Danio rerio: one gene and its partners. The protein of the gene in region 1 interacts with the protein of each later gene in a biochemical or structural test. Links are inferred from orthologs where the notes say so. Each region holds a gene or a part of one and is shown in the gene's direction. Other genes may lie near its edges.

The links.
Region 2: the proteins of sntb1 (region 1) and cysltr2b interact in a test that uses a peptide from one of them, tested with the Homo sapiens proteins (2 studies listed by IntAct, with this or other methods). The link is inferred for Danio rerio from reciprocal best matches to the Homo sapiens genes SNTB1 and CYSLTR2.
Region 3: the proteins of sntb1 (region 1) and rps6ka1 interact in a test that uses a peptide from one of them, tested with the Homo sapiens proteins (2 studies listed by BioGRID and IntAct, with this or other methods). The link is inferred for Danio rerio from reciprocal best matches to the Homo sapiens genes SNTB1 and RPS6KA1.
Region 4: the proteins of sntb1 (region 1) and asnsd1 interact in a test that uses a peptide from one of them, tested with the Homo sapiens proteins (2 studies listed by IntAct, with this or other methods). The link is inferred for Danio rerio from reciprocal best matches to the Homo sapiens genes SNTB1 and ASNSD1.
Region 5: the proteins of sntb1 (region 1) and tanc1a interact in a test that uses a peptide from one of them, tested with the Homo sapiens proteins (2 studies listed by IntAct, with this or other methods). The link is inferred for Danio rerio from reciprocal best matches to the Homo sapiens genes SNTB1 and TANC1.
Region 6: the proteins of sntb1 (region 1) and dgkza form a complex in vitro, tested with the Homo sapiens proteins (2 studies listed by BioGRID and IntAct, with this or other methods). The link is inferred for Danio rerio from reciprocal best matches to the Homo sapiens genes SNTB1 and DGKZ.

Annotation. Positions count from the first base shown.
Region 1 is NC_133191.1:15,526,546-15,530,045, reverse strand, and holds part of sntb1 (beta-1-syntrophin), read left to right. Parts: intron 1-1,687; coding exon 1,688-1,824; intron 1,825-3,500. UniProt on the Homo sapiens protein: Adapter protein that binds to and probably organizes the subcellular localization of a variety of membrane proteins. May link various receptors to the actin cytoskeleton and the dystrophin glycoprotein complex.
Region 2 is NC_133190.1:3,203,655-3,207,815, reverse strand, and holds the start of cysltr2b (cysteinyl leukotriene receptor 2), read left to right. Parts: upstream 1-1,361; 5' UTR 1,362-1,634; intron 1,635-4,161. UniProt on the Homo sapiens protein: Receptor for cysteinyl leukotrienes. The response is mediated via a G-protein that activates a phosphatidylinositol-calcium second messenger system.
Region 3 is NC_133192.1:28,642,653-28,646,152, forward strand, and holds part of rps6ka1 (ribosomal protein S6 kinase alpha-1), read left to right. Parts: coding exon 1-8; intron 9-141; coding exon 142-300; intron 301-1,242; coding exon 1,243-1,404; intron 1,405-2,815; coding exon 2,816-2,892; intron 2,893-2,980; coding exon 2,981-3,098; intron 3,099-3,170; coding exon 3,171-3,308; intron 3,309-3,500. UniProt on the Homo sapiens protein: Serine/threonine-protein kinase that acts downstream of ERK (MAPK1/ERK2 and MAPK3/ERK1) signaling and mediates mitogenic and stress-induced activation of the transcription factors CREB1, ETV1/ER81 and NR4A1/NUR77, regulates translation through RPS6 and EIF4B phosphorylation, and mediates cellular proliferation, survival, and differentiation by modulating mTOR signaling and repressing pro-apoptotic function of BAD and DAPK1.
Region 4 is NC_133184.1:42,813,948-42,816,179, reverse strand, and holds part of asnsd1 (asparagine synthetase domain-containing protein 1), read left to right. Parts: coding exon 1-431; intron 432-520; coding exon 521-702; intron 703-2,232.
Region 5 is NC_133181.1:13,014,316-13,017,815, reverse strand, and holds part of tanc1a (protein TANC1), read left to right. Parts: intron 1-1,241; coding exon 1,242-1,375; intron 1,376-1,452; coding exon 1,453-1,576; intron 1,577-3,500. UniProt on the Homo sapiens protein: May be a scaffold component in the postsynaptic density.
Region 6 is NC_133182.1:39,301,639-39,305,138, forward strand, and holds part of dgkza (diacylglycerol kinase zeta), read left to right. Parts: intron 1-895; coding exon 896-991; intron 992-3,391; coding exon 3,392-3,460; intron 3,461-3,500. UniProt on the Homo sapiens protein: Diacylglycerol kinase that converts diacylglycerol/DAG into phosphatidic acid/phosphatidate/PA and regulates the respective levels of these two bioactive lipids.

The DNA of each region.
Region 1 (3,500 bases):
ACATATTATAAAATTATATATATATATATATATATATATATATATATATATATATATATATATATATATATATATATATATATATATATATATATATATATATATATATATATATATATATATATATATATATATATTGGGTGCAACAGTTCAATTTACTCACGGTACAGTATGTATCATGGTTTTAGAGTCAAGGTTTTGGTATGGCACTGTTTGTGCTATGCTTAGAAAAAAAAAATGCCTACAGAACAATTCAAAGAACAATAAACATATTTATTGGGTGTCAAATACCTCACAATGCAACAGCCCCACACATATGACTGTAGATTTGCATATTCTCATGTTAATTAAGTAAAAGTAGGGCATTTTGAAAAATGTATGTTCTAATAATTTGTTTAAGAAAATAGGCTTAAATTTCCACTTTTTCTATTTTACATTTTACATATTTATGTCAACACATAACATATTTTACATATTTATGTCTACACATCTTAATAATTGAGCACTTTTAAAGTATTGATTACTTCTGTTTACATTATGCTTGTATTACCAAGGCAACAGTGCATTTTTCTTTATGATATTTATGATATATTTTACTTCTATATGACTTTATTATGATTCTAGAGAGCTCTGTTTCACTTGACACCATCGTAGTAAACGAAACTTAAGCATAGAGAGAGCGTTCGGCTCTTCTTTCTTATTCAGCAGGAACAGTGGGTAAACAGTGTGAATAGCAGAAGGGATCGGTGCGAAAGAACACCCAGCAGGAGTGGGACTGAAGTAACAGACCTGCTGTATGTCTGCACCTGTATTGGATGCTTCTGGGTCTGGACATGGACCTTGATCTGCCTGTTAGTGACCACTGATCTAGGCTATCTTTGCAATAAAAACAACAACAACATATGGCATTTGTTATGTTTTTGTGTCTGTCTGAATATATATTGAGTGTCACACTATTACATGATAAAATTGGACTGTTTAGATTAGTAAGTATTGAGTTCGGTAAAGTACAGGATGTTTTTTAGAGAACAATGACCTCTTATGTCAGCAGATCAAGGGGATTTTATATAGTCAGTACATGACCGCTTTAAACATGTTGTAACATTGTTTCTTTGAGGTCATCTAAAAGTTGCAAATGGCTTTCAGCATGTTACATCAGTGCTCATTTTGCTGATGAATCAGTTACAGTTTAAGAGGCTCAATAGTTTTTATACTCTGGCTTTGACTTTCCGACTAGTTACATGAAGTTTTCCTAAAAGAGAAACAGCCCAGAGGTTTACTGCTTGACCTGCGCTTATTTACATATCTCTCAGATTAACAAAATATGTAAAATGAAAGGACTCCCAAAAAGAAAACTGTCATAACTTACTCATAATCCTTAGCTTGTTCCAAATTTATGTTTTTTTATAGTAGTAAAAAATAGTTTTTTTTGTTTAAAGTTATGATCAAGTAGACATTGACTTCCATAGAGTTTTCATTTTCCTATCATGGATGTCAACAGGTACCATTTTCCAATATAAAATATAAAGTAAAATAATCTCAAAGGTCTGAAACTAATTTTTTTGGGTGAACTGTTCCTTTAGTGTCTAAAAATGAGAATGGAAAAATAGGATCAAATAACAAGGAGAAATATGATCAAATGTAATTACACGGTATCTAATTGAGGTTTTGTGTCTTTGTGTTTCAGACGGAAAGTGAAAGGCAGAGCTGGAAGCCGGTGCTCGTGATGCTGACGGAGAAAGATCTGCTGCTGTTTGACAGTATGCCACGCATGAGAGAACACTGGCTCACCCCGACACACACCTACCCTCTGCTCGCCACACGGTACACACACACACACATACACACACACAGACGTACTGCTCATTCATACAAAAACAATCACAGCACACACTTCTGTTGAACACATGCCTCTGTACAAGCGCATGCAAATACACATTTGCATGCCAGCTGGCAGAGATGACCAATCGGGAACTGAAACGCACAACTGCAATCTTCCTCAGCCAGTTGGAAAGAAACAGTAAAATTGCATTTTAAATGCCCGTCCGAGCAGCAGCTATTACTACAAGAGTAAGATTTGAGGTCCAATTTTAGCTGGACTACAGCCCGAATCTCACTCCAAAGCTGATAGGGCAGTTATCACAGCCTCTGCTGGCATGTGTTAATGTTTTGTTGACCCTAAACTGGCAGAAAGCGTAGCTAGGCTTTTTTTGTTGTTTCTCAGAACTTTTCTAAACTTATTTTGGCTCGACTTGCTCTGTGAAATCTCAAGTTTCTGTCAAGTCGGGCAGCTGTGCCAATGGTGAAAGCTCATTGGAGAAAATCCCACGCTGGGATATAGAACGCCACAGTGCCTGTCCACTTTTTTTAGTGGTTTCAGAAGTTGTTTTAATATTTATTTTTGTCCTTTAGGACGATTTTTAATGCTTTGTTAAAGGGCCATGAACACCAACCCCCCCTTTTTACCAGCAGGGTGTTTTTACACCTTTAATTTGAAAAAAGGAAAGTGGGTGTCCATCTTTGTTTTGGTGGGAGTGTCGAGTGGCAAAAGAGGGAAGGGTTTGCATGAAAAAGGGAGTTTCATTACATGCACAGCAGCTGATTTTTACACCGGCAACACAAACACAGACGCAGGGGAGATAGACAGTGATTCGGAGAACAGTGTTTACAGAAGATCTGAGAGCTGTGTGGAAGTGGAGGATTTTTAATTTATAATATTGTTGTGATATTACTGTAAACATAGTGCCTAAATCATTTTGACTAAGGTATGTCTTTAAAACTAAAAGAGTACTGCTGACGATACTAACTTACTTTGCTATCTGAATAAACATAAACAAAGAACATTGATCACACACTTACCAAATCTGTAGAGACAGAAAAATCAACACTAACTTGAACTGCATCTTTTTTTAATAGAAGTGGCAAATTTCCTGTGCAAACCTGCAATCTACTTGCCGTAGACTAGAGAACAGTGAATGTTCATCATACGTGTGTGAATGCAAGTGTGTTTGAGTGTTTCCCAGTACTAGTTTGCAGCTGGAAGGGCATCTGCTGTGTAAAACATATACTGGATAAGTTAGCCATTCCATTCTGACGAACCCTGATAAATAAAGGGACTAAGCTGAAGGAAAATGAATGAATGAATGAATGAATGAATGAATGAATGAATGACAAAACTGCACAATATAAGTTTACATAATGTATAATATTGAGCACTTATATTCCTTAACCCTTTTGTTGTCTTATTAGACATAATACTGACATCACAGAAATAATTATTAATGAATTATTATGTTTTAGAAAACATAGCATATGAATAATATGCTTTCTGCAATTTATTCTAGTATAACCATGGTATTTTTTAAGTATCTTGGAAAATGTAAATATCAAATGCATACATGCTATATCATTTTAATGTATTGATTGGGATAACCACTTGAGTTGAACCATCTATTTTTTAAGGAATATATAATATACAGAATTTCTTTTTCTTTATTTTT
Region 2 (4,161 bases), on another chromosome or scaffold:
AATTAAAAAAAGATTAAATGTTTTTAAAAAGTTTTAACAACTATTATAAACTAAATAGCAGTCGCCTCACAGCAAGAAGGTCGCTGGTTCGAGCATCGGCTGGGTCAGTTGGTGTTTCTGTGTGGAGTTTGCATGCTCTCCCTGCGTTAGTGTGGGTTTCCTCCGGGTGTCTCCATTTTTTTACAAAGTCCAAAGACATGCGGTACAGGTGAATTGGGTAGGCTAAATTGTCTGTGGTGTATGAGTGTGTGAATGTGGATGTTTCTCACAGATGGGTTGGGGGTGGAATGGCATATGCTGGATAAGTTGGCGGTTCGTTCCGCTGTGGCGACCCCAGATTAATAAAGGGACTAAGCCAAAAAAAAAATGAATGAATGAATAAACTAAATATATACAACAATCTGTCCAGGTCGCTTTCCTCAGCAGTAAATAGATAGAGATCTTTTAAACGAATGTTATTGTTAGGAATATAATTAAACCGGTAAATAGAGTTAAAATTATATTCTATAAATAAAAAGTTTTATTGAGATGATTGTTGGTGATTGTATGGGTTTTGGCCAGATTTGGTAGCTATAAATGAACAAAGGAAAATTAAGACCGGTTTAAAAAAAGATTTAAGACCTAAAACACAATATTTCAGTTATTTTAAGACTTTTACGGCATAACATTTAAATTTTGAGATTAAAGACATTTAAAAACCAAGCAGAAACCCTGTTTAAAGCACTTTATCTTAAGTGAAAAGCCAATAAAAACACAATACAGGTGACATATTGAGGTATGGTTGGTTTTGTATTTCCACATTCGTTCAGTGACAACTTATATATTAAACGTACTTGTTTACCACGTTACTTTGAATATTGGGTCTGAATTCGCATGCAAAGTGACATTAAAATCACACTAGCATGGTGTACTTTCCTAGTCATTGGCTGCTAATGTGATTTATTTATAATACTAAATATTGTGTAAATATAATAACTTCATCTAAATACGTCAAGTTTTACTGAAATAACATAGCTGTCAAAGTTTAATTAGCTTAAATAAAACATTACAAACCAAACAACGTGTGACTAAACAAAGTCTGCGTTAATAGTAACGTTAGCTGTAAAACATCTAAGTACTTTTTAAACGCATTAATGAGTGCATGTGTAAACAAAGACGCGTTATTATTATTCAGCTGTTAGTTAGCTAACAAGCTAACTATCGTTTATTTTCATAACACCTCCACTGCTTGCAGAGACGAAAACAGTCCTCGAGTCTGCACGAAGCTCAAGCTAACATGTCAGATAACACCACCCGAATGTATACGAAAGTTGTTAAATTAACTAAACACAACTAAAGGTGTTTGAATGGGTAAAGCTGCTAGCTGATGTTAGCCGAGTGAGAATGACGTCACGGAGAAGTGTCAATCCGTCTCACGTCGAGTTTTACAAATAAAACTCTGAATGTTTACCTCGTGTTAAATGAATCGTCAAGGTCTTCATTCCTGTGGCAGATTAGGATGGAGATGGTGGAGTAAAGCGTCAATTCTGCATGTCTGCGAGTTGAGGTGGATGTTCAGTCCTCTCTCAGCTGGCAGTGTCTCATATGGGTGGATTTGAGCGACACAGGATTTCAAACTTCCCTTACAAGACATGGTGACTACAGCAAAACCACATATTAACTGCTAATATCGGTAACGTTATACTGTAAATACATGATACACTGGTTAATCCTTCACTTTAACCCTTACTTTTTGAACAGACATAAAAAATTACATGTTCAATAAAATTGTTTATTTACTGGAAAAAACAGCTTAAACCAGCCTAGACTTTTGCCACTTCCAGGCTGGTTTCCAGCCATTTCCAGCCTGGTCTTAGCTAGTCAGGCTGGGAGGTGACCAGCTAAAACCAGCTTATCCAGCCAAAACCAGCTATGTCCAACTTAAACCAGGCTGGTCAAGCTGGTTTTAGCTGGTTAAGGCTGGTCATTTTCCAGCCTGACCAACTAAGACCAGGCTGGAAATGGCTGGTAACCAGCCTGAAAGGGGCCAAAACCCCTCTAAAACCAGCCTGGTTGACCAGCTAAAACCAGCCTAACAGCACGTAGGGCTGAAGCTGACACTAGTGGATGCTCTGGAACTCTGGGGCTGAAGTCAACACTATGGGGCACCCTTGGTCTGAAACCAACATCGGGGGGGGGGGGGCTCTGGGCCTGAAGTGGATACTCAGGGGCCCTTTGAGGCTGAAGGCAACACTGGAGGGCACTCTGGGGCTGAAGCCAACACTGGGGGGCACTCTGGAACCAAAGCAGACACTGCATGAACTCTGAGGCTAAAGTCAACACTGGGGGGCACTCTGGAGCTAAAGCCAATAATGAGGGCTCTCTGAGGCTGAAGCCAACAATGAGGGCACTCTGGAGCTGAAGCCAACACTGGGGGCACTCTGGAGCTGAAGCCAACACCCTGGGGCACTCTGGGGCTGAAGCCAACACTGAAAGCACTCTGGAGCTAAAGTCAACACTTTGGGGCACTCTGGGGCTGAAGCCAACACTTAGGGCACTCTGGGACTGATGCCAACATTGAGGGCACTCTGGGGTTGAGGCCGACACTGAGGGCACTCTGATGGCTGAAGTCAACTCTGAGGGCACTCTGGGGCTGAAGCCAACACTAAGGGCACTCTGGGGCTAAAGCCAACACTGGGGAGCACTCTGGGGCTGAAGCCAACACTGAGGGCGCTCTGGGGTTGAAGCAGACACTGGGGAGCACTCTTGGGCTGAAGCCAAAACCGAGGGCACTCTGGAGCTGAGGTCAACACTGTGAGGCACTCTGGGGCTGAAGCCAGCACTAAGAGCACTCTGAGGCTGAAGCAGACACTGGGGGCACTCTGGGTTGAAGCCGACACTGAGGGTACTCAGGGACTGAAGCCAACACTGGTGGCACTCTGGGGCTAAAGCCAACACTGAGGGCACTCTGGGGCTAAAGCCAACACTGAGGGCACTCTGGGGCTGAAGCAGACACTGGGGGCACTCTGGGTTAAAGCCGACACTAAGGGCACTCAGGGACTGAAGCCAACACTGGTGGCACTCTGGGGCTAAAGCCAACACTGAGGGCACTCTGGGGCTAAAGCCAACACTGAGGGCACTCTGGGGCTAAAGCCAACACTGAGGGCACTCTGGGGCTGAAGCAGACACTGGGGGCACTCTGGGTTAAAGCCGACACTAAGGGCACTCAGAGACTGAAGCCAACACTAGTGGCACTCTGGGGCTAAAGCCAACACTGAGGGCACTCTGGGGCTAAAGCCAACACTGAGGGCACTCTGGGGCTAAAGCCAACACTGAGGGCACTCTGGGGCTGAAGCGGACACTGGGGGCACTCTGGGTTAAAGCCGACACTGAGGGCACTCAGGGACTGAAGCCAACACTGGTGGCACTCTGGGGCTAAAGCCAACACTGAGGGCACTCTGGGGCTAAAGCCAACACTGAGGGCACTCTGGGGCTAAAGCCAACACTGAGGGCACTCTGGGGCTGAAGCAGACACTGAGGGCACTCTGGGGCTAAAGCCAACACTGAGGGCACTCTGGGGCTGAAGCAGACACTGGGGGCACTCTGGGTTAAAGCCGATACTGAGGGCACTCAGGGACTGAAGCCAACCTCGGCGGGCACTCTAGGACTGACGTCGACATTGAGGGCACTCTGGGGTTGACGCAGACACTGGGGGGAACTCTTGAGCTGAAGCTGAAACTAGTTGCACTATAGGGCTATAGCCAACAACAGAGGGCCCTTCGGTACTGAAGGGTACACTGGGGGAGCGAGTGGTCACTGCTGACATTCTCAGGAGGCAGGTGCATAGTGAATCTGCCAGTATGTAAGGTGAAAAGCACACTGGCAGAACTCCACCATACATTTGACATCAGGTCAAATGTACCTCAAAATACTTTCATCTCCCACTGTGGTATACACTTGAGCCGAGCACTGCATTAAAGACTGGAGAATTAACAAGACCAAAACAAAAGAGTCCCGACAATCAGACCATCATACATTAAAACAATCACCATTTTCCTGAATCCCACACCTAGTACATCCAGAGAAACCGAGAATTTTCAAGTGGTTGATTTTTTTTGTTTCTCTCATAAAAGAAAACAACCTTCTTCAAATGAAACAACACATTCTTTATGAAAGATCAGT
Region 3 (3,500 bases), on another chromosome or scaffold:
TCAAAGATGTAAGTCAACAGAATATATTTTATTTTCTGGAAAAAAATTTATTCTGCATTATTTTAATTTGACAAATTTCACAATACAGAGAGTTACTGGGTTACAACTCTATATTAAACACAAAAACCCATTGTGCTGTAGGTGTATGATAATGGGAAGCAGGTCTATCTGGTCACTGAGTTGATGCGAGGAGGTGAGCTGCTGGACAGGATCCTCAAGCAGAAGTTTTTCTCTGAGAGAGAGGCTAGTGCTGTGCTGCACACTATCACAAAGACTGTGGAATACCTGCACTCTCAAGGGGTGAGAAAACCTGCATGAACAAATGCACTCACATTTATCTTGGAGATTAACTTGACACAAGCACAGAATTTGTTAGTATGATTCACAGCTTTGCTTTTCCTTTTCTTTCTGAGGGTGATCCCCAAGGCTCTACCGTGTGCCCTCTTCTATTCCACTCCTCTCTGTTCCCTCTCCGCTATTTACAACGTTTAATGTGATTCAATAAATTGTGTGTTGATGTTTTTTTCCCAGAAGAACCACGAGAGATAGAGTTCTTAGGGCAAATATCATCCTGTAGCTTTTTATAGAGTGCATTATAGCCGTGTTTGAAAAACGAAAAGTTGACTCAATTCAATTCAATTAAAACACTCTTACTTGAAATCTTAGCCCAATATTATAGTAAAAAGTGACTGGGGCTTTTGCAACACTAAACATGTTTTATTGGATTTCTTATGATTGTTAGACAGATGGACTTTTGATTTAAACATGTTCCCAAAAAGAGAAGACATTAGCTACTTTCACAGATGTAGACTTTTCTGGAAAATAACCAGCAGTTTTCTGGAAAGGGATCATGTGTGAACAGGCCTTTTTTGAAAATAGCGGTAAATTTGTTGGATTTGCAGGAAAAAGCGCATTCACATTTAGAATTTACCGGTAAACTTTATTTAGTAATTTTCCAGATATTTACCGGTATTTCTGTGTGAAAGGGGCTAATGAATAACTTATAAAAAAAATAAAAACTTTGACTACCTTAAGCTATCCTTTATTTGTGATCATGTGGTAATATATATGTAGTAATTTACCCATTAGAGACATATTTATTCAATAACATGTAACTCTAAATTTAATTCTTAGTTTTTTTTTTACTGTGCATTAATGCCTCTTGAATTTTTAAAATGGCAGGTAGGTTTGCAGTTGTTTGTGAATTCATTGTAGTTCAATGTAAGTTCTTTTGTCCTGCAGGTTGTGCACAGGGACCTGAAGCCCAGTAATATTCTGTATGTTGATGAGTCTGGAAATCCTGAATCTCTGCGCATTTGTGATTTTGGCTTTGCCAAGCAGCTTCGTGCTGATAATGGCCTCCTCATGACGCCTTGCTATACTGCCAATTTCGTAGCACCTGAGGTGAGCAGTTGTTCTCACAATGGAGCAGGGAATGCTGTATAGAGGGATTCCACTAAAAACTTGTTGAGAAGTCTTATTTTGACACATATTTTGAGAAAATGCTATGAATAAAAAAAAAAACAACAAATTAAAAAAAACGCAACATACACTCTGGGCAAATAGACTACCCTTTTGTTTTGTTTTTGCATAAATCTGTTAATCAACCTCAGTCCTGATTAAAACTACTAAATTGCTTAGAAAATTACAGGATTTTAACTCTCTAATTGCCAAATTGATAAATGATGTCACTGGTTTGGTGAAAAGCACACAAAATGACGTATTATATAAATTATATAAAAATGATGTATATAAAAAGTAATTGTTCTCTAGATTTTTTTTACCTATCTTAACCTTTTTTAAACCTTTTATCACAGTCTTGGAAATGTGAAACAACATTGCCTTTGATGCATTTGTATTTGATTGATTTTCATTTTTTCTCCCTAATTTACTGTTGGTGGCTGTTTTGCTCCATTGACTTCTGTTATAACCATTTTTATTACAAAACTATGACACCCTCATAATCATGCATTTTTTATTGTTGGTGGCTTCTCATGTTGGGACGAGATCAAATTTGTCATTTTTACCGTTGGCCATCTGTTAATACAATTAACACTTTAGATAGGCCTGCAAAGAAACGTAGTTCCTGGAGTTTAAATGGAGTATAACAGCAAATAAAAAAATTGTATGTGTACGTGCATGTGTGAGAGAGTGACCTTTACGCACTTACCTTGATGTGTCCAAGAAAATAAAAATATGCATCTCGGCTCTCAGAACTACATGGAGTAAACAAAAACAAAGACTGTGTATTTATAAACCTTCAAATGTGGTTATAATGGAAGTCAATGGGGCAACAACAGCCACCAACAGTAAATTAGGGAGAAAAAAATTTAAATCTACCAATGCATCAAACCCAAATGTGTTACTAATCGTTCACTTGTCAAAGACTGTAATAAAAGGTTTAAAAAATGCAGTTCACAATTACTTTTTATATTAAAAATATGTCATTTTGTGTGGTTTTTCACCAAATCAGTGACATCATTTATCAATTTGGAAATTTAGTGGTAAAAATCTAAATTTAAAAACAATTTAGTAGTCCTGATCAGGACTGAAGTTGATTAACAGGTTTTATGCAAAAAAAAAAAATTTTAAACATATTTATCTGATGCATTTTACAGCAGTTTAATTCAGTTGATGTGTTTATCCCTAACAACAAAAAGGGTAGTCAATTTGAACAGTGCACAAGGGTTAAGATTTTACAACTATCTTGGCTTCTGTATTGGAAATTATTACTGGCTAAATGACTTCAGATTCTGTGGGATCAGTGTGATGTGGATTTTTAATTTTTTCAGTAACAACTGTTGTCCTTTTGCAGGTACTGAAGAGACAGGGCTATGATGAAGGCTGTGACATTTGGAGTCTCGGCGTATTACTATACACTATGATTGCTGGGTGAGAAGATGCTCATTCACTTCCATTTTTGTAAATATCTTTGCAACACATCCACAACCACTTTCTTTTCGGTTGTTACTTGTTCCAGGTTTACGCCATTTGCCAATGGACCAGAAGACACTCCAGAAGAGATCCTGAGCCGGATAGGGAGTGGACGCTTTACTCTGACGGGTGGCAACTGGGACGCAGTGTCTGATGCTGCCAAAGTAGGCCAATCCCCATTCATCCAGACTGCTTTGAAGGGAGGTGTTTTCTCACACACATGCTTTTCTCTACAGGATTTGGTCTCAAAGATGCTCCATGTGGACCCTCACCAGCGGCTCACAGCCAGGCAGGTGCTGAAACATCCATGGATCGTTCAGAGAGACAAACTTCCCAACAGCCAGCTACAACATCAGGATGCTAAGCTTGTCAAGGTATCCCCGCCTTGAGGATTTTGCACTATTTATATGCAGCATGCATGCCCGGTTCCAGAAAGAAATCAGTTTTTGAGGGTGCTTCTAAACTTAGGGTAGAGTGCTCTAGAAAACTGTAATTATGTAAGGGCCAAGCATGGAAGGTTGATGGTAAAATATTCTATTTAAGGATTACAGTGCAGCCCTAAAATA
Region 4 (2,232 bases), on another chromosome or scaffold:
TTACTGATAGGCACGTTCCTGCAGACAAGCCCATTGACTTGCTCAATGTTGCTTTCAAAATGCAAGAAGCAAAGATGCCTCCCAAGTCCATGAAGAAAGGTAAAAATAAGAAGACTGACTGTGATGATGCTGATAAAACGCAATTGGATCAGCAGAAGTTTAATCCGTTTAATGTGCCTGACCGAATAACAGGAAGAGCAGGTCTGCAAGAACTTAAAAATCTCAGTCCAAAGCGCCAGTGGAACTTTATCGAAATTAACGTAACTCAAGAGGAGCTGGTGGAAATGCGACAGAAACGCATCTGTCATTTGGTGCACCCTTTGGACACTGTTCTGGATGACAGCCTTGGATGTGCTATTTGGTTTGCTGCCAGAGGAATTGGTGTCATAAATGAGGCTGTTGATGAAGAACTTTATATTTCAGAAGCAAAGGTAACATTAATACTCTGTTTGTATTCAGTTATGTCTGTGTGCAAGGACTAGGTCACATTGTATAAAATGTTATCTTCCTGTTTTCACAGGTGGTTCTGACTGGCATCGGGGCAGACGAACAGCTGGCGGGTTACTCCAGACACAGGGTGCGATATAAACACTCGGGACTTGAAGGACTAATCAGAGAGCTGGCTATGGAACTGGGACGAATATCCTCAAGAAATCTTGGAAGAGATGACCGAATCATTGGGGATCATGGAAAAGAGGCCAGGCAAGTATTACACTTCAACAGTTCAAACAACATACAAGAGTATATTCACACAAGAAAAGTTTATTATTAATTCACTTGTTTGTTCAGGACCAAACCCATTGCCGATTTCTTTTAAATTTGTTGTAGTGTTGTTAAAAGTATTGAGTTCGGTACTGACATTTGAAAAACTTTAATTTCCCGCTAACATTCAAGTGTAGTTGAGTACATTTTTAAACACTGCTGATTGGCCATTATGTTCACATGCTTAACAGAAGTAACTGTGATTGGCTGTGAAGTTCATCAATTCACCATTCTTCACCAAGTGCAAACACAGACGCACGGACACTGGGGCAGTTCGAAGCCATGTAGATCAGTCGGTCCATAAGCAGATCGCTCGTATGTCATCTGATAGACAGATCAGCTAATCTACGCAGCTTTGAAATGCTCTAGTTTCCGTGTGTCTGTGTTTGCACTTGATGAAGAATGGTGAATTGATGAACGTCACAGCCAATCAGTCATTTCTGTTGACTATTTGAACACAATGGCCAATCAGCGGTGTTTAAAAATGTGCTCAAATGCACTCAAATGTTAGCGGGAAATTGAAGTTTTTAAAATGTCAGTATCGATTGTTACTGAACTCGATACTTTTAACAACCCTAATTTGTAGGGATGCTTCAATCGATCGCCTGAAGATTGGTATCAGTCGATTCGACACATTCAGTCGACACATTTCATGACTTAAGTACTCACCAAACCAATCGCAGGCGTTTATGAGTTTACAAGCAAAGGAAGATGCATGTGTCCTCCCGTATATTATACATAGCCTACAGCAGCCACAGCACAGGTAAATGATGCATGAGGAGGTAAGCGATCGATGCGCTTGCGTCACAACAGCTAAAATATATACAGATGCGGTGCGAACTGTTTATACAGTTTATTGGGGCGACTAGCGCGAGTGATGCTCTCTTTGCCCCAAGTGTAGCCATTGTATTTCCAGTATTTTAGCTGCCATGACACGAGGGGAGCGATTGCCCCTATCTAGGGTCTTATCCAACCTTATGCCCTTTCCTGGAAGCTCTGCGAGTCTCCCCCAAATTCATTTGGTCCCCAAATATTTGTTTTAATACCTGGAAATCATGGCAACAAGAGTAAACGAGAAAGAGAACGGATCGTAAGAGGCACAGTGATGTTCTAGGCATTACATTACTTAGGTTAAATAAATTGAGCAGTGAGATATTGCAAGTGCAAATCTCTCCCTCTTTCTCATTGAGTGATCTGTTGTCAATAGTTGGAGATGAGCTAAATGCATGCATTAAGGCCTTTTTACATATAACAACTGAAAGTTCTGTGTTTTTGGCAATATTGCAAGTTCACTAAAAGCTGACTGGAATTATTACATAAATAAAACTTTAAAAATGAACATGAATATTTAATAATATAACTTGTAATACACTCATTGATATAAAGAGTAGGCCCATTTCTAATTTTCTTATTTCTATTATGCACTCCAAACTTTTACTTGATTTAGACATTTTGAATTATTTTTTCATC
Region 5 (3,500 bases), on another chromosome or scaffold:
TAAATAAGTAGTTTGAACAAGCAGCAGAAGTCATTTTTTGAGTGTTTGTCATGGCAACTTGATATTACCAAGACAGGATAACTTGTCATAAATCTGTCATGAACATGAATGTCATGAGGCTATTGTAATTGTATAATGAATAATAACCTATTTACATTTTTCAAAGGGACAAACTGAATTTGTGATTAAATCTGCTAAGTAAAAGTGCTAAATAAGTTTATAACAGTGTCATTAAATTTCCATTTTTACCACTGTAGTTGAGGTCAAGAAAAAATAGTAGTGATGCTTTTTATGAAATTCATGACAATTATAATAGCCTTATGATTAGGGATGCGATTATAGATTTTGGTTGTACGATTATAGTCTGAGGCATAATCATCATTATTATCCATTTATTCATTTCAAAACAGTAGTTTAAAAAATCCCATGATAACTCCTTATATTTTAAAGTGTTATTATTGCAGCTTAGTAACCAAATAATACAACACAAATACAACACAAAATAATAATAAAACAAACAATAGTCCATTTCTCTTTGGTAAAGTAAAAAAAAAAAAGAGTTTTCGACATTTAAACACAAGTAATTTTACACTGAAAATAAGTGACTGAACAATAATAAATAAATAAAAATAAGAATAAATAAAAACTTTTTGTCTGTTTAATGTAAATCTATTGTAAGTATTTAATCATGTAAATGTAAATATTTTCCTTTAAAGAGAACATATGTAGCCTCAGTGTACAAGCTCGGAACTTCAAACTAGCGCACAGTCGGCACAGCTTTGTTTAGTTACAGCAGTTGTGTTCCATGTAGAAACGCGGTGTTAAGAAGCCTTAACGATTAATTAACCGTGATGAATTAAAGCACGGTTAATATTTAAAACGGTTAATTGTTGCATCCCCACTAATGACAATCATGTTTATGACAGATTTATGACAAGTTATGTTGTCTCGATAATGTCAAGTTGTCATAAAGAAGAAAAAGAAAGGTTATGATGTATTGGTTATGTCAAGTTGTTGTTACAAAGACATCTCTTTACCTTTGCATTTAAAATGACATAACTAAGCGAATGACACTTACAGTAATGACAGTTGTCATAAGCATGCATAAAATCTCATTCACATGTTACCATTTAAAGTAAAAGTGTTACTGAGTTTGTCACATGGTATTTTGCCAACTATATAATTTGGATGCAGTGACAGCTTCCCATGTTGACAGGCGTTAACATGCACATCTTCCTCAGCTCTAACAGCTGCTGCTGGACGGGGCAAACAGGAGGGCTGTGTGTTCCTGCTGGATCAAGGTGCCATTGTAACACAGCCAAACCGCAGAGGGGTTGCACCCATCTTTAATGCAGTGCGACATGGACACACACAAGTATGACCCTTTATTACACGTTTAAAAAAAAGTCCAATTTTACATTGACGTCACTCATCTCTTTTACGTATTTGCAGATTGCAGAGTTGTTTCTTCAGCGCGGTGCAGATGTGAACTGCGGTGATAAACATGGTCGCTCTCTACTGATGGTGGCTGCAAGTGAGGGACACCTGGAGACTGTGGACTTCCTGCTCTCAAAGGGTCAGTGATTGGGGCATGGGAGTCCTTAGTTTACCCGCAACTCAATAAGATCATAAAAAAGACCTCAGTTATTAACATCAGAGTTTACACATGTTGTGGAAATTTCTCTTTCCTGCTTAAGAATTGTATATAAAAGTACTGGAATTAATAATAATAATAATTCCTTACATTTATGTTGTCAGTGGCGTAGCGGACAGGCCCGCATGATTAGGGGGCCCTGCGTCATCACGATTTTTAATAATTGTAAATCCGGCAACCGCAATAATCAAACTCTCGGGAACAACTGTGGTCGGAACCAAAGTTCACAGGTCTGTGTTCTCTGAACACCTCTCAAGCGGTGGACTACTTCATTCTGATTGCTTGCCACCGAACCGCATTATAGCTCATACCAAAAAGTTGACTTGATTTTACTATCCTCGCCGCCGGTTCTCACTGAAAATGAATGACTTCTGGCTACTTTGAGTTTGGGTTTGGTAAAAATATTGTTTCCCAAACTAAGCCTTAAGAAAAAAATCCTTAGGGCTCTATTTTGACGGTCCATTTTTTGGACGGTGCCGCTTTCAGGGCGTGTCAGGACGCTTTTTGCTAATTTAAGGACGGGAAATCTGCCTTGCGCTTCGACGCATGGTCTAAAAGGGTTGAGTTTATTTTCCTAATGAGTTATAGGTGTGTTTTAGGAATAAACCAATTAGAGTCTCATCTCCCATTCCCTTTAAGAGTCAGCTGCGTCGCGCCAAGAGCGCATTAACTATTTACAGAACGCAAAGTAAGTGTAAGTGGAAAAAATGAGCATTTCACAAGCAAACAGTTAACAGTTTTTTAACAGAAAACTGTTAAACAGAGCATCTACTGCGTGAGAATGAGAGATAATGGATCACTTTCACTTTCGCTCTTGGATAGGGAAACCTTTACGCACAGACATCAATTAGTCTATAAATAAATACTTTTGTTTGTTAAGCGCAAATATTTGTTTCAAAACTATTTCTAAATTCAGTTCTAATTTCCAGCAAATGAATAAATGAATAATAATAACAAAATGTGCTCAAAAACCTGAGTTATATCCTAAAACACATGCTGTGCCCCATATGGTCTAAAACCTGACAGGTGGGCAAATCTAAGCTTGTTTTTAATAAAACAAATATAAATATGGATATATTAAATAATACTGCTAATAATAATAACATTATACAAAAGCAAATTGTTATGAATGAACTGAAAAAACCTCCCGAGATGAAGAAGACATAAAAGCAGTGATTTTTCATATTTATGTAGGCTAGAAAATAATATGTTTTGTAATATTTTAATCCTTTATATTTATGTCCTATATCTATTCTTATTATATACTATATATATCCTTAATATTTATATTTTTTCATATGTAAAGATATTTGCCTATTGCTCTCTTGTGCGTATTAAGCAGTGTGTAAGCGAGGCGCAACTCTGCGTCGGAGTTTAGACCGGGTTAGTTTTGGTCTAATAAAAAATCTATTATAGTTTCTTAAAGTAGCAATGCGCCAGCGGTCCACCTCAGAACGGCTTCATTTTTAGACCAGAACGCCTATGGGCGCAAAAATGAGCGCTAATGCATTTGCTATTTAAACAGCGTAGCGCAACGCCTCAAAACGACTCTTGTGCCAAGCTGAAACTACTAAAAGACTACTGCGTCACGCCTTACATCACACTGCGCCGGGTGTATGATAGGGCCCTTAGTGTTTAGCTCTGTATAAGTCTGAAAGTTCATTCATAATGGTCTTAAAAAGGTTTTAAATTTGACTTTGAAACCTGCAGAAACCCAGTTGATCAGACTTTTTGATCTTATTAGCCACTGCACCAAATGTTCTGCCTTTGTTTGTGTCTCTGAATAAAATGAAGGCGTTTTTCTTAGCTAGACTGTGACCTCTGACGCATTTGTTTTTGGACCATT
Region 6 (3,500 bases), on another chromosome or scaffold:
GTTAAATGTCTGTTTAGCAGCAGTATCAACAGATATTAATTAGACCGTCTACAAATACTCAAATGGACCATCAAAATCAAGTGTTACCATAGTTTTAATAGCTCATTTTAAATTGCTGATTTAATTTTTCTTTTCCAAGATGACAGTAAATAATATTTGACCAGATAATTTTCAATACACTACAATAAAGCTTAAAGTGACATTTAAAGGTCTAGGTTAACTTGGTTAAATAAGTTAACTAGGCAGGTTAGGTTAATTATGCAAGTTATTGTATAATGATGGTTTGTTCTGTAGACTATCGAAAGAAAATAGCTTAAAGGGGCTAATCATTTTGACCCTAAAATGGGTTTTAAAAAATTAGAAACTGCTTTTATTCTAGCCAAAATAAAACAAATAAGACTTTCTGCAGAAGAAAAAATATTATTAGACATACTGTGAAAATTTCCTTGCTCTGTTAAACATCATTTGGGAAATATTAAAAAAAAAAAAAAATTCTGACTTCAACTGAACAACACTTTAAGATTTAGATTTTAGTTATTTGTGAGTTTAATTTTAGCTCTTTATTTGTCGGAATGACCCCAGATGTTTTACACACACACACACACACACACACACACACACACACACACACACACACACACACACACACACACACACACACACACACACACACACACACACACACTCACACACACACACTGCATGGGCTGCTGCTGTTTGCTGTTTAAATCTTGATTTCACCCCGTTTTACCCTTTGTTTTCCTTTTCCACATCCCTTATGTCGCTCTCACTGCCGTAATCCATCCCTCATCTCTTCATCCCTATCTCTCCATTGCACTTCTGCTCCTCGGTATGCCCTGTCTCTTCCTGTTCCCATCTTGCTTTGTTGGGTTAGCAAACCTGGCGACGCAGAGCTTTCAGAGGTCGCTGTGCTTTGGAGCAAATGAGAGGTGCTGCAGCTAAATGTACTGCGCACACCTCTAACACACAGGTATCACACACATTTACGCAGCTACTGTATGATGACACTTTTACTTGGTTATCTAAATGAAGACTTATATAATTTTCCATTTTTTTTATTACAGTTATCACAATAAGATTAAGTAAAAATTGTTTTTGTCATTATAAAAATAGATGGTGACTCACAAATGCACTCACAAGAATAAACGAATACTGTATATTTTAGAAACTTCACAAAATTTTACTAATTTTAAAAGTAAAACAAATAAAAAGGGTTTTTCAGCAAATATAGCAGAGTTTTATTAAAATCCTATACTGCCATTTAATTGCTCTTTTTTTTATTAATTCTTTATTATGTTATGCAATACACACTGCAGCTAAATTTGGTCAACAGTTCACATTTTATTGATCAGTCAACAAATTAACTCCCAAATTTTGCAACAGTGAGCATTTACAAACATTTGACTGTGTGCACACGGCTCAACTGAACAAGTGTTTGTTCATGACATTTTAATACATTTAAAAGTCTCTGTTCTTTGTGTATAGAGTAAGAAATTTAAAGGCACCTATGATGAAAATCAACTTTTGTAAGCTGTTTGGAAAGAACTGTCTGTATGTATAGTGTCTACAATCATATTTCTGTGATTTTTTATAAGTTTACCATTTTTTTTCTAAACCGGCATGTGTGTAATAAAGACAGTAAAATCGATATCTAATTCTTAACCATTATAATCATCACAGCCACATGGTGTCTGTAAACGCTAGTGTGTGTGTGTGTGTGTGTGTGTGTGTGTGTGTGTGTGTGTGTGTGTGTGTGTGTGTGTGTGTGTGTGTACTGCAAACGGCATTTGTGTGATACTCGTCATTTCAGAAAGGCTTGAATAAACTCCATGACAAACACATAAAATAAACATACTTGGTATTTTTGACTAATGAGCAGTATTTTAGCTTTATCCGAGTCTGTCACTGTGCTGTATATCTGACGTAGCGCCTGATGAAAAGCAGACATGTACGTGCGAACGGTGGGCGGGGAGAAGCAGCTCATTTGTGTTTAAAGCTACAGATTATAAAAACAGCTACACTGTATTCAGACACCAAATGGGCAGATTCTGGAGTGTGTAATAACTGATCTGATGGGTATTTTGAGCTGACACTTTACAGACACATTCTGGAGACACCAAAGGCTTATCTTACATCTTGAAAAGGCGTAAAATAGTTGCCCTTTAAAGAGAACAAGTTAAGAATTTAATAGCCAATAATAAACTTAAACTTAATCATTTTGGTTGTAAGTTGTGTTGCACAATCAAACAAAACCATTATTTATGTAGTTCACTCCCTTGTTTAAAGGGTGGTCACTAGGAATGCACGCTATTGAAAAAAATATGCAATATTCAATTTCGTTGAGGATTGCGATAACAATATGTCTTGCAATATTACATATCCCTACAGAAATGCTCTTTTTAAAAACGATTTTTATGTTTTTTTTAGTAAATGTAATGATCATTGATTTTTTTTTACACTTTTCTGCGATACAGATCATGCATACAGAGCTCTGCATATATAAATACACCCTTCACAAACGTATCTTCTAAATTCATATTTTAATAGGAAGCTATACAATATTAAATTTGTGCATTTACATTACAGTTGATTAGTCGGTACTGAAGCCAAAACTGGAGCTAATCTAACAAAATAACTTACAATAATGGTCCAAAAACTAGTACAGCCAAATTTTATATTATAAAAAATATTATATACAAGTTTAAAATGAGAGGAAAAAACAAGAGAAGCAAAAAATTAAAAAATTTAGTTGAAATTATGAGTTGAATTTTTTTTGCAATAGTTTGCTTGAATTCAATTGTAATGTCTTTCAATTTCTAGATATCTTTGGTGACTAAAATATTATTTTAATAAATAAATATATCTGTTTAATAAATCTGTTTTGTTTAAATGCACTAAAATGCATTGCCTATATTCACTGAGAAATGGAGAAAAATATTCATTTAAAAAATGGGGAGTACTCTTAAATGTATTTTGTAGCCCTAGTTGTTGCTACTGAAACTTCACAATTTGGAGGTGGCTAACATGCTAACAAGTGTCATCCTTTTCAGTTTATTTAGTAATACAAAATAATTTGAACCCCATGAAAACCAATCCTCATTTTAAATGTGAACAATATGTCTGCAGTGTTTCTCCCTCAAGAATTTAAGCATACATTTGCACTTACTCGTATAGGCACTTCATCATGGCATTCAACTTTAAGTATTTTTAATTGCATCTCCAGAGGTTTTCTGTTCTCATGGTGTCTGTTCAGCTGTCTCCTCTTGTTCATGCTACCAAATCAGATTCAGTCTTTATAGCCCACAGCATAACCCCACAACAATGTCATATTTTATGGGTGTATGATCCTATGTCTTGTTTTTTATGGCAGCCTGCAATAGTGCGACACCACTGGGTCCATCGGAGAAGACAAGAGGGCAAATGCAAACAGTGTGGAAAGGTGAGTAAAATCACAAAAGTATTCACACTATATTTATGAG